Danio rerio: one gene and its partners. Each later gene encodes a partner of the first gene's protein in a complex. Links are inferred from orthologs where the notes say so. Each region holds a gene or a part of one and is shown on either strand. Other genes may lie near its edges.

The links. Proteins that work in one complex are often made in the same cells at the same time.
Region 2: virma (region 1) and mettl14 share a complex: the UniProt entries of both Homo sapiens proteins name them as parts of the WMM complex. The link is inferred for Danio rerio from reciprocal best matches to the Homo sapiens genes VIRMA and METTL14.
Region 3: virma (region 1) and rbm15 share a complex: the UniProt entries of both Homo sapiens proteins name them as parts of the WMM complex. The link is inferred for Danio rerio from reciprocal best matches to the Homo sapiens genes VIRMA and RBM15.

The regions. Positions count from the first base shown.
Region 1 is NC_133191.1:29,802,388-29,806,447, forward strand, and holds the start of virma (protein virilizer homolog), read left to right. Parts: upstream 1-1,164; 5' UTR 1,165-1,189; coding exon 1,190-1,252; intron 1,253-4,060. UniProt on the Homo sapiens protein: Associated component of the WMM complex, a complex that mediates N6-methyladenosine (m6A) methylation of RNAs, a modification that plays a role in the efficiency of mRNA splicing and RNA processing.
Region 2 is NC_133176.1:21,570,325-21,574,456, reverse strand, and holds the start of mettl14 (N(6)-adenosine-methyltransferase non-catalytic subunit METTL14), read left to right. Parts: upstream 1-1,236; 5' UTR 1,237-1,328; coding exon 1,329-1,394; intron 1,395-1,535; coding exon 1,536-1,624; intron 1,625-1,826; coding exon 1,827-1,914; intron 1,915-2,019; coding exon 2,020-2,097; intron 2,098-2,680; coding exon 2,681-2,768; intron 2,769-2,846; coding exon 2,847-2,937; intron 2,938-3,226; coding exon 3,227-3,368; intron 3,369-3,875; coding exon 3,876-3,968; intron 3,969-4,132. UniProt on the Homo sapiens protein: The METTL3-METTL14 heterodimer forms a N6-methyltransferase complex that methylates adenosine residues at the N(6) position of some mRNAs and regulates the circadian clock, differentiation of embryonic stem cells and cortical neurogenesis.
Region 3 is NC_133183.1:26,684,632-26,688,912, reverse strand, and holds the start of rbm15 (RNA-binding protein 15), read left to right. Parts: upstream 1-1,385; 5' UTR 1,386-1,532; coding exon 1,533-4,094; 3' UTR 4,095-4,281. UniProt on the Homo sapiens protein: RNA-binding protein that acts as a key regulator of N6-methyladenosine (m6A) methylation of RNAs, thereby regulating different processes, such as hematopoietic cell homeostasis, alternative splicing of mRNAs and X chromosome inactivation mediated by Xist RNA.

The DNA.
Region 1 (4,060 bases):
CACAAGAACTACGGTCACATCAGAGTAATAGTTCACCCCAAAAATAATAATAATCAGTCATCGTTTACTCAGACTTGATTAAAAACCTGAAACTATTAACTATTGATAGAATTATTTTTCTCCATTGAAGTTAAGTTTCCAACAATCTCAAGACGTCTTTTCTAATCTTCTTTTGTGCTCAACACAATAAAAACTCAAACTGTTTTAAAACAATTAAAGGGTGAGGAAATTAAGACAGAATTTTCATTCTTGGATAAACTTTCCCTTTATTAACATTAATTATTAAAAAAATATTAGAATAAAACAATGAGGCAGCATAGGGGTGTAATGGGTAGCACAATCGCCTTACAGCAAGAAGGTCGCTGGCATTTCTGTGTGGAGTTTGCATGTTCTCCCCGTGTTTGCGTGGGTTTCCTCCGGGTGCTTTAGTTTCCCCCACAAGGCCAAAGACATGCGGAACAGGTGAATTGAGTAAGCTGTTTGAAGTAAATTGTTTAAGAAAGATTTGGTTTGAAAAGCAACATAATATATTTTTAACTAGGCTATACACACAAATCACTATAACATATCTATGTTTTCTGCCAAAAAAACAAACAAACATTTTAACACAAACTAATCTTGACGTTGAAACTAGTTCATCTTTTTTGGTATTATCCATTTTTTTTGGAAAAATCTTTTACATTTTATTCGAAATAAAATTTATAATGAATGTACTTTTTTACGAGTATGAACAAAAGTAAACAGTTGTATGTGGGGAACTTAATTTTGCTGCTTGCTAAATTTCACATTCATAAGTCAAAATTTTCTTACTCCAGACCTATGTTTGTGCTTTTTCTGAACGAATTTAAACAATATCTTTCACTGATCCAATTGTCTCAAAACAAAAAGGCTCTAAAAACTTAAACTGTCTGCGGCTCTTTCCCAATGTTTGATGAGTACATTTTGCTTTTTCAGTATGTACTTTTTATATACCCCCTGTCTTAGCTGTTTCTTCTTTTTATTTGTTTGTTTTGTGCCGTTATTTTTCTTCATTGTTAAAGATAATTGTTCTGCCTATTTGTTGTTGTATGTATTAATTGTATACACTGTTTATGGGCTTAATAAAAAAATAAAAAATAAAAAACCTTGACGTACGCCTTCAACCCCGGAAGTATATCGCTCACCGGAAGTTCTAATGTGATCAAGAAAGATGGCGGGGGATTCTGCAATGGAGCTGCTCTTTTTAGATACGTTCAAGCATCAAAATGCAGAGGTAACGTTAAACATGCAGCGTTTCCTATCTTCACTCGTGACTTTCAACAGGATTTTGCAGAGGCCATAAACTTTTACACACGTTAAAATATTTTCGCGCGTTCTTAAAGTTTCCATTCTAGTAACGCACAGGGCGCTGTAAGCAGTTAGCTTGCTAATCAACCTAACCACAGCAATTTATACATATCCTCTACATTCAAGGCAACAATACAGCTCGTGATTTCATAATAACTCTGTATTCTCCTCCAAAACATTTATGTGAGCTGTGCTATGGCTGAACATGTCTAATGTGAAGACATAAGGTTTAAGTTGTTTCTCGGTGCAAGCAGACTATAAACAACGTGGCTATAAACAAGCAGTATGTAACATTAGGTTACTGTGACAAACCAAAGATTTGATTTTCTTTACAATAACGTGTTTTTGTGAACATAGGGTAGCGGTGCTTGTTTAGTAACCTCTCCGGTTCTCATGAGCTTGATTATCTGACAGGAGCGCTTGTGTTTGTAAACAAAATGGTCAGTCTGTATAGAAGAAATTCACAGAGCCTGGGGGAAAAGTGTTTGGAATTTTTTTGGTAAAGTTGGTTTTATATTTGCATATTCGGACTTTCTTCTTAATAATATCATATCTGAAAAGTATTATTTGCAAACTCTTAATCGGGAAATCATAATAGCAGTCAATGACTATCAAAGTACGACACTGTTTACAGTCAGTTAAATAGTGCTGATGTTTTGACGTCATTTAAATGCGATTTTACATCCAATATTTAAATTAGCATGGTAAACGGACCGTTAAATGAACGAATGTGCGAATATGAAACCTTTACCTCTGTGTGTTTGGAGTTGGGCCAAATAGAAATTACAAACCATTGTGTTTAATGTATAACTTTGTTGGTCATATTACGTTTTTTTTTGTATAAACAGTCAACATTATTATTCTTCCTTTGAATTTTAATTACATTTTCAAATGTTTCATTTTCAAATATAGTAGTGTTTAAATAATAGTTTTAATTAACTTACTAGTTTATAATTGCTAATTTCTTTTGTCTTTGCCATGAAGGCAATATTTTCCAAGATACTAGTTTTCAGCTTAATGTGCAAGTTAGTGGCTTGACTAGGTTTTTAGGCTAAACAGACAAGTCAGTAGACAGATTGAGCTAAAGTTGTTTTTTTATTCTCACATTTGTTCAGTAACACGCACCCTTTATTGTTTACCACGGTACTTTGAATATACGGTCTGAAATCACATGCAAGTATGACTTCGACAGACCATCAGCACTATTTAATTGACTGTGAACAAATTAAAAATAACAAATAAAATAAATATTAAGGAGAAAGTGCGAATGTGTGAAAAACCAACTTCACCTTAATGGTGGACTGGTTAGTTCTGTATTTCTTGTTTGGGGGTTAATAATATTGGCCTTAAAAATTACTTTAAAGAGCTGCTTTTATTAAAGCCAACAAAAAAAAGTGTTTTCCCCCAAAAAAGAAAATTCTGTGAAAACGTCCTTGCTTCGTTTAATATCATTTGGGAAATATTTGAAAAAGAATAAAAATTTCTCATGAGAGCTAATAGTTTAGCATTAAACTGTATATAAAAAGATTTTTGGCCTGTCTTTTATAGTCTCACATTTTTTGTGTGTAAATATTTTTTTGCTGTTGTTGCTTGAATGTTTTGTTCATTGTTTCTATGACTGTTTTTTTTTTTATGGGTTTTTTTTCAGTATGTTTTTGATATAGTTGTAGTTTGTGTGATCACATCTGATTGCTAAACGTTTTTAGCCAAGCAAAAACCTGCATTTATTAATTATATTCAGAGAAAGATTAAGCAAAATGAACTTAACATAAGATAATTGAGTAACTTATGCTTTCACGATAATCAATATATCATCTTATCAAACAACATGTCGACATCACCACAATCATTTTTGGTGAGGCAATATATATCACCCATACATAGAAACCAATTCTAGCAACATTTCATCTGATTGTGCAATGTATCTGTCTCTATTGGAGGTGTCAGTGTCGGTATGGTTAAAAAACATTATAGTATTTAATATAAATGACTATGGTATATTTTCATGGGAGTGTCTGACAACAAAATAGATCTGGTAGTCGATATTGCAGCCTCTGTTACTTTTTACCTTGCACTTTTTTTCTCAACATTTATTATTATTTATTTTGTTTATTCACATTCTGATTCCAGTGCCTAATTATTAAACTGTTAAAATTACTGTACTTATATGAAATATTCTTAAGAGTAAAATATGATGTGGTCTTTGGAGGAGTGTACATTCTGGCATATAATGAATGACATAAAATGGTCCTAAAATGACAGTAATTTTGTTTATCGCAATATATTTTGGTGCAATATTATGTACAATAAAAAAATAGATATCATGACAGGCCTATGAGTGTCTATATAAACTTAGCTACACTTTATTGATGGGTCTTTTTCGACATTTGTTTCTAATTACAAGTTAACTAGCAGTCACTACACTACAGCATCAATAGACTGTCCCCATAATATCTGCTGCTAACAGTTTAATGATGGTTCAAGACCACAAATTCGACTGACAATCAGTAACTTTGTAAGTGTGTGAACTTCTTATCTGCTAGTACTAATAGCAACCTAACAGTTTACTGATAGTAAAGTAGTACTGCTAATTTTTTTCAACAGAATGTCTATAGAGGACCACTAAAATGAAGTTTAATGTTTTGTTTTTTTAAATCTTCAGTAACTGATTACCTGAAATTGATTAAAATAATCTTATATTTATTATCACAGTTATGCTAAAAAGAACTGATTG
Region 2 (4,132 bases), on another chromosome or scaffold:
AGCCCGGAGCTTATGACTCATGCATATTGATGATCGTCGCCCAGTCTGGATTTCAAGTTTAAAAAGAGAACAGTTGATGGTAAAAATCAATAGTGTCCTTCATTTAATAGTGACAAGTTGCAGAACAATAGAAAAAGAATCTACGAGGCAAATAGTAATTGCTAAATAAATCATTCCACGATAGCGCCCGAGCTGCGCGCGCCGATCTTCCCACAGAGTGAACTTAAACGAGAGTCTGCCACGTTATATCAGTAATTTGGCGTCTAGTCTGGTCTGGTCATCACTGTTGGTCTCTCCGAGACAACACGGTGTACAAATTTCGGCTCAAGCTTTCAGAACTAATCACAATGACAAACAGCCAAAAGTTCACTTCTGCCCTCTTGTGTCAGTAAAATGCAACCAGAATCAATGCTTTTCATTTATGAAATTATAAACATTATTAATTATAGAATAATAGCTAATTTAAAAATATATTTTTAAAATCGGTTTCAGTTACTTTCAGTCAGCAAGGATAGATCAAAACAAATACAATATTAAAAGAAAAGAAAAAATACAATTATTCAAAGTCTAAATTTAAGGCTTTAAAATAATTAACATTGCTTTTTGTTTTAGTATTTTTTGTTTTTATATCGTACATGATCTATTTCTATTTTAAAATGAGTAAAATTAGGTTTTTTTCACAGCCCATTTACATTTACGAATAAAACAAATTCCACATATAATGAGCAAACACTATACCAAATTTTGAAGCCGGCTGTATTCTCATAATAAACATCATTTCTTTTAATTCCAATGCAATACTCGTACTCCGCAAAAAAAAAAAAGATCACACCAAAACAATAGTGTATAAATACAATCAAAATAAATGAACAATACTCTCTTCTTAATCGTTACAGAAAACACATTTTAAGTCAACACCTTTACAAAATTGTGCAATTACCTGTTTTACATGATAAAAACGATTAACAATTTTAAATATTAAGTTACCTCTCTAATTTTTCAGTTATACAAAAACGTCTGGAGATCTTAAAAGTCTGGTTCGAGTTTACGTCTTGAAATTGTGATCTCCAAAAACTAATGGCTGAAGGAACACTGACAGTCAAATCATTCAAAGATAATCATTATTACATTTTGTTTACGCTAGTTGTTTTTACTCCAAATAAAAGTAAGAGGCCGTCTACTGACGTCACCGTATGCGTCAAGCATTGTGATGATGTAAAATACATGCGACGGTTTCTCACGTTGAGGGTTTCAATGGATTTTTGCCGCACTATTGTTGTCATCTGATCATTTCACGATTAGCTATTTTCCTGCAAAACATTTTCGACATGAACAGCCGCTTGCAAGAAATACGGGAAAGGCAGAAGCTCAGACGTCAGCTTCTCGCACAACAGGTACGAATACACAACTTTATTTCTTCCTGCAGAAAGCCAGTTTTAGCAAACACTGCCATATTAACGCGGTGTTATATTACTAACGCCAATGAACGTAGAAGCATTGCGAATGTTTTATGACATTAATGATTTGTTTTACAGCTCGGAGCAGAGAGTCCCGACAGCATCGGCGCAGTTCTCAACAGTAAAGATGAACAAAAAGAGATTGAAGAGACTAGAGAGACCTGCAGGTATAAACCATTTGTTAAATTCAAGGACTATGTGCAGCACTAAAAAATAAAGAACACTAAGACCTATATACCCCAAAAGAGCTAAAACTGTACTGATAGGACAACCTTTACATTCAGCACGGGTATGTGATGCTGCTACTTGTAAGTTAGTATTAATCAGAACGATGCTGAGGTCAGTTACCATTTGGTTTGTTTACTGTAGGGCATCATTTGACATATCAGTTCCTGGTGCTAAAAGGAAGTGTCTGAATGAGGGTGAAGATCCAGAGGAAGATGTGGAAGAGCAAAAGGTGAGAGAGCGCTGATCAGGAATCGGCTGTTAATTCAGAAAAGCCCTTACATTTGATCAGGTCAGAGCTATGTGTAACTGATTTTGAATCTGCTGTATGGTGTAGGAAGATGTTGAGCCTCAACATCAGGAAGAGAGTGGACCATATGAAGAGGTGTACAAGGACTCCAGCACATTTCTAAAGGTATCTTTAAACACAATTGTATATGATTTAATTGAGCAATCGGGTATGAGAAGCTATGATATTTTTGTGAGGATACTCAGACATATATTCACAAAACGGTTACCACTATATACTGTCATTAAAGGCAAAAACATGGTAATTTTTGAAAAGTACGATCTTTAAATTCTTTCATTCCATCAGAAAAACTGTCCCTTACAGTAAACGTAAACTGCATTGGGTTTTGCAATTAAGGTATGTTTCATAGTTCTTAGAACTAATGTAGGAAATTCTCGCTTTTGACATGTTTGTAATGCAAGGACTAGGAACAGTTTTAGTTATTGGAGCTTTTTTGGGAAACAAGTGTTACATACAGTATATACATACAGAAAGCTAGAGATAGTCTCATTTACCTGTTGGCTTTTTCTGCTTTCTGCATTCTTTCCTTTGTATTCCTTTGTATTATGTATCAGTATAAGATGTCATAGGGGATTTATTTCTTCTGGTTCCTTTTTCAGTTGCATAGTTTATGTCTATGCAAAGTCACTCTAAATATTACTAAAATAACATAAGTAATGTTTTTATTATATCATTACTTGTTTCACAGGGCACTCAGAGTTTAAATCCTCACAATGATTATTGCCAGCACTTTGTGGACACAGGTCATAGACCTCAGAACTTTATCCGAGATGGAGGTAAAGTGTTTTTCTACTTTTTCTTTTTAGTTTTCCACTTTGAGAGTGTGTTAACCTGTGTGTTCTCATGTGCTGTAGGTTTGGCTGACAGGTTTGAGGAATACCCCAAACAAAGAGAGCTCATTCGACTGAAAGATGAACTCATCTCTGCCACCAACACTCCCCCCATGTAAGAAAACTTGGTCTCAGTCTATGTCATAGGGCCCATACCGGCCAGTGGTGCCCATTTGCAGTTTTTGAAACCTGAAAATTATTCACATTTGTGTATAAAACACTGGGTTTTATTTAGATTCTAGAATTTTATTTGAACGTACTAAAAACAAAAGTGATTTTGAGGTTGCTAAGCAAATAAAATCAGTTATTTTTTATAATAATTAGAAGCATTTAACTATGGGACAATTGGGTCTTTTTCAATGCTTTTATGAATGTAATAACTCTTGCGTTTGTGTGCGTTTCAGGTATCTCCAGGCAGATCCAGACACGTTTGATCTGAGAGAGTTGAAGTGCAAGTTTGATGTGATTCTGATAGAGCCTCCATTAGAGGAATATTACAGAGAGTCAGGCATCATTGCCAATGAGCGCTTTTGGAACTGGGACGATGTGAGTTACTGCAAATTCTCAAAATCAACCTCATGAGAATGTTTTTAAAATTGATTTCAATTATGTATTATAATACACATTAGAGATATACTTGACTACACTCAAAAATGAAAATTCTATCATCCCCACTTGTCCCAAAGCTGTTTGAGTTCATTTCTTCTGTTAAACACAAAAGCAGATATAGTGAGGAATGCTGGGGGAAAACAGCCGTTGACTTTCATAGTTTTTTTGTTTGTTTGTTTTAGTTGTTTTTGTTGTTCCTAATATGGATGTAAGTGGCTGCATTTTCCAACATTCTTCAGATTATCTAGTTTTATGTTCAACAGAAGAAAGACATTGATAACAATTTACAACCATTTGAGTCTGACTAAATGGTGAGAATTTTCATTTTTAGATGAACTATCCATTTAGATAACAGTTATTATATATTTTATGCTCATATAATATAATAATGTAAGATGTCCTAACATATATAATAACTTATTTTTGTATTCATGTGTGCTTTAGATCATGAAGCTGAACATAGAGGAAATCTCATCCATTCGCTCTTTTGTATTCTTGTGGTGTGGCTCAGGAGAAGGCCTTGATCTTGGCCGAATGGTACAAATCTCACAAATATACAAACTTGACATGGCAGATTTCTGTTCCATGTGCATAAACCTAAACTTATCTCAAATATGATGTACACATAATAACCTGCCCACATACAAATATGCTGCTTTTACATCATTGCCAAATATTCTTTATTCAAACATATTTAAACA
Region 3 (4,281 bases), on another chromosome or scaffold:
TAGCTGGGAAATGTATTATGTTATAGTAAGTAAAAAACAAAGAGGTTCATTATACTTGTAGTAAGTATTCAGATGACCTACTTCTTTTGGTGAGATTCTGCAATGTGCTTCCAAGGGACTATTCCATAAGGCAACATGAGAGGATCTGTGAATGCCAGTGAAGTGACGTAACTGAAGATGTAGGGCACGTGACACTAAAACATGGCTAATCTTGTAGTTCTAGATTGTTCAAACAATACTATGTTCATTATGTAGGGCGTGTTTTCAAAGTATGTAGCCTACTCAAATACTCAAGAAAGTGTTTGATTTTGAATGCAGTTTGTGCATTGTAAAAAATAAATAAATGACACGTTGGCTGTTCAATTTGTCTTCTGGTGAATCAACATTGGATGAATGTGTTTATGTGCATGATAAAGTTTTTAAAATAGTTGTATTTTGTTTTATTATCACTCATTTAAGGTTTTGGACGTTTTTGTATTAAGTTCAAAGCATTGTCCTATAAATATATTCCTATTTTTCTTCATTGAAAAAAATAATAATTTGGGGGTAATTTTTTTTAATTTTGATGGTTGAATTGATAATTGTATAAGTTAAAACTATAATGGTCCCTGAGGGTATGAGTAAAGCATGCAAATTGTAAAACACTAAATTGTTTTAAGATAAATTTTAACTAATTTAAAGGCAATAACATTACTTTTATTTATTTATTTATTTATTTATTTTTTACAATTTAACATAAAAAAAAATTCACAGACATGGGCATATAATCAGAGATCTGCATTGTTTTAGTTAAGAAATTATTTCAGTTATTAGGCTAAAACCAATGGCTAAAACCCATGGAAAATGCTCATCTATAGCTGACCGACATGGTTAAAAGGCTGTTTTTTCACGTCCGTTCACCTCTGTGAAAGGCAAACACCACCATCTGTTGGACATCAAGTGAACAACGAGAATGTTTTAGTTTTTTTTTATTTGGATTACTTACGTTTTATAAAGATTGCACAGTTCATTTAAATTTATAAGAAATAACATGTAGGTGAAACTCAGACTCTTAGCATCTATTAAAGTTAAACACCGTTTAATTTTAAAAATAGCCTATACAAAGCACTCTTTGTAGATTTATCGAGATGATTAATAAATATGGTTTAAGAAGCAAATATAATATTGGCAGTACATGTTCTCAAAGACTATATGTGTGGTTAGTTGAATGTCACCTCTGTGTTTTATAAAGTGGCTATAGTAAACATTTGGCTTTTGAAGCTAAAATGGTGTACAGCGAGACTGGGCGCTGTACTAGTGCTTTAGATTGACAGACGGATCAGCCAATAGCGCTGTCGTTTCTCAGAGATTCAAACCAATCAAAGTCGACGGGCGGGTCATGTTTTAGTCTTGACAAGATGGCGTATGCGGTTGTTTTGCCGCAGGGACACTGAACAATTTATTCAGTTTATCGTGCAAATTCGTTGACGTTGCGGTAGCATTACAGTTAAAAAAGTGTTTTGTTAGGCGCGTGAAGCCAGAGGACATCTAACATGAAAGGTAAAGAGCGGTCGCCGGTGAAAAAACGTTCAAGGGCCTTGGATGATATACGAGACAGGGGAGGAAGCCATCCGACCAGTAAGAAAATGGGGGTTATCTCGAATTCTGGCGGAGGAAGCAACAACGGCAATAGTTCGTCTAAAAGCGACGGGGGCTCTGCACGACGGGGACTGCTTGGAGATAAAAGAGACGGACGGGAATTTGACGGACATGTATCCAGTCGGACTGGTAATAACCACGGTTACACGAGCCCTGTTGCGAGCTCAAGCGGCAAAAATCACGCCTCGAGTCTGTCCTTAGAGGCGGCGCGCACCAACTCGCGCGGGGAGGCGCGCGCACCGCTTCCCACAAACGAAAGTGAGTACAAAACTTTAAAAATCAGCGAGCTTGGCTCGCAGCTGAGTGACGAGGAAATCGAGGACGGCCTCTTTCATGAATTCAAAAAATTTGGTGACGTGAGCGTCAAAATCAGCCGAGTGAACGACGAGAGAATCGCATTCGTCAACTTTAGGAGACCGGATGATGCCAGGGCGGCAAAGCACGCACGAGGCCGGCTGGTGCTCTACGACCGTCCTTTAAAAATCGAGGCAGTTTACTTGAACAGGCGGAGGAGTCGCTCTCCGGTGAAGGAGGATCATTTCTCTGTTGTTGCAGGCCATAGACATTTGCATACTCAGAGGCCGCTCTCTCCAACCGGCCTGGGCTACAGGGACTACCGGTTACAGCAGTTAGCACTGGGTCGGCTTCCTCCTCCCCCACCCCCGCCTCTGCCCAGAGAGCTGGAAAGAGAAAGAGAGTTTGCCTTTTATGAAGCGAGGGCGCGGCCCGCATACATAGCAGAGCGAGCCGCTCCTTTCCGTGAGGAGGACTTTATCTCTCCAGAGGACGACCAGAGAGCCAACCGCACACTGTTTTTGGGTAACTTGGATATTACTGTGACTGAAAACGATTTGAGGAGGGCTTTTGAACGATTTGGGACAATCACTGAGGTGGACATTAAAAGACCCACTCGTGGCCAGAGCAGCACCTATGGCTTCCTTAAATTTGAGAATTTGGACATGGCTCACAGAGCTAAAATTAGCATGTCTGGGAAAGTTGTGGGCCGAAACCCCATAAAAATTGGATATGGTAAAGCCACCCCAACCACAAGACTATGGGTGGGTGGTCTTGGCCCTTGGGTGCCTCTGACTGCATTAGCCCGGGAATTTGACCGCTTTGGAACTATTAGGACTATAGACTACAGAAAAGGGGACACCTGGGCTTATATTCAGTATGAAAGCCTGGACGCTGCTCAGGCAGCCTGCACACACATGCGTGGATTTCCTCTTGGTGGTCCTGACAGGAGGCTGAGGGTGGACTTTGCTGACACAGAGCATCGCTACCAACAACAGTTCTTGCAGCCCCTCCCCCTGCAACATTATGAAATCATGGCTGAGTCTTTCGTTCATCGTGCCACCCCTGAAGCCATCAGGGTCAGAGAACGGACTCCTCCGCCACTGCACTTCAGAGAAAGAGAACTCTATGCTGGGGCTGAGTGGCCAGCACCTACTATTCGTGAACGTGTACGAACTCCTGCATTTGAGCCCCTTGAACACTTAGAGCGTGAACGACGGCGAGAGGCCTGGTCACTGGAGCGAGAGCTGCCAGGCAGAGAAGCTGCACGAAAACGGCGGCTCATGGAGGACGGCAGACATCTGGAGTGTTCGCCTGACAGCAGCAGTGAGTGGGCGGCCCGCCGTCGCAGACCCCCGTCGCTTGAGGGCAGCCCAGGCGGCAGCAGCCGAGACGGACGTTTCAGTGACTCTGAGCGTCCAGCGAGAGCAGACCGGGTGTCCCCAGCACGAGAGAGCCGCAGCAGCCTGGACCGAGTTCCCGGTGAGAAACGCATCAAAAGCAACAGCAACCTCTCTGAGTCCAGCATCGGCGCAAGCCCTGCAGAACGAAAGCGCAAAGCGGGCGATTCAGCTAAAGGTGCATCCAAGAGGGACAGATCCGAAAGCAGCTCCAAAAGCAACCAAGCTTCAAAACAGGACGCAGGGGGGAAGCTGAGCATGGCCTGGAATGGCATGCTGCTCCTCAAGAACAGTAACTTCCCAGCCAGCATGCACCTCCTGGAGGGGGACCTGAGCGTCGCCACCAGCCTTCTCATCGACGGCAGCACGGGTGGAAAAGTCTCTCAGCTGCGCATCACACAACGGCTTCGTCTAGACCAGCCCAAGATCGACGAGGTGTCTCGGCGCATCAAAGTGGCAGGCCCAGGAGGCTACGCAGTTCTACTGGCAGTTCCAGGCAGCTCTGAGGAGACTTCATCATCAGACCCAGCAGCATCCACGCAGAGGCCTCTCCGCAACCTGGTTTCATACCTGAAGCAAAAGCAGGCCGCCGGGGTCATCAGTTTGCCCGTCGGCGGCAGTAGAGATAAGGACAACACTGGCGTCCTGCACGCATTTCCACCATGTGATTTCTCTCAGCAGTTCTTAGATTCTTCTGCGAAAGCTCTTGCCAAAACAGAAGAGGACTTCCTGGTCATGATCGTTGTGCGAGGAGCATCTTAACAGTCATAATACACACTAAAGTATTGTTAAATGCAAGCTTCTCTTAATGTCTCTTAATTGCATGCTCTCTAAAGCAGAAGTGGTACTAGAGTAAAGGGCAGCTGTTGTTACCTGCTCTGCCAAACATGTACAGTAAAAAAGAGAGAAAATGGCCCATTCATATAGCAAAGTTTAGCTCTATAGCAAT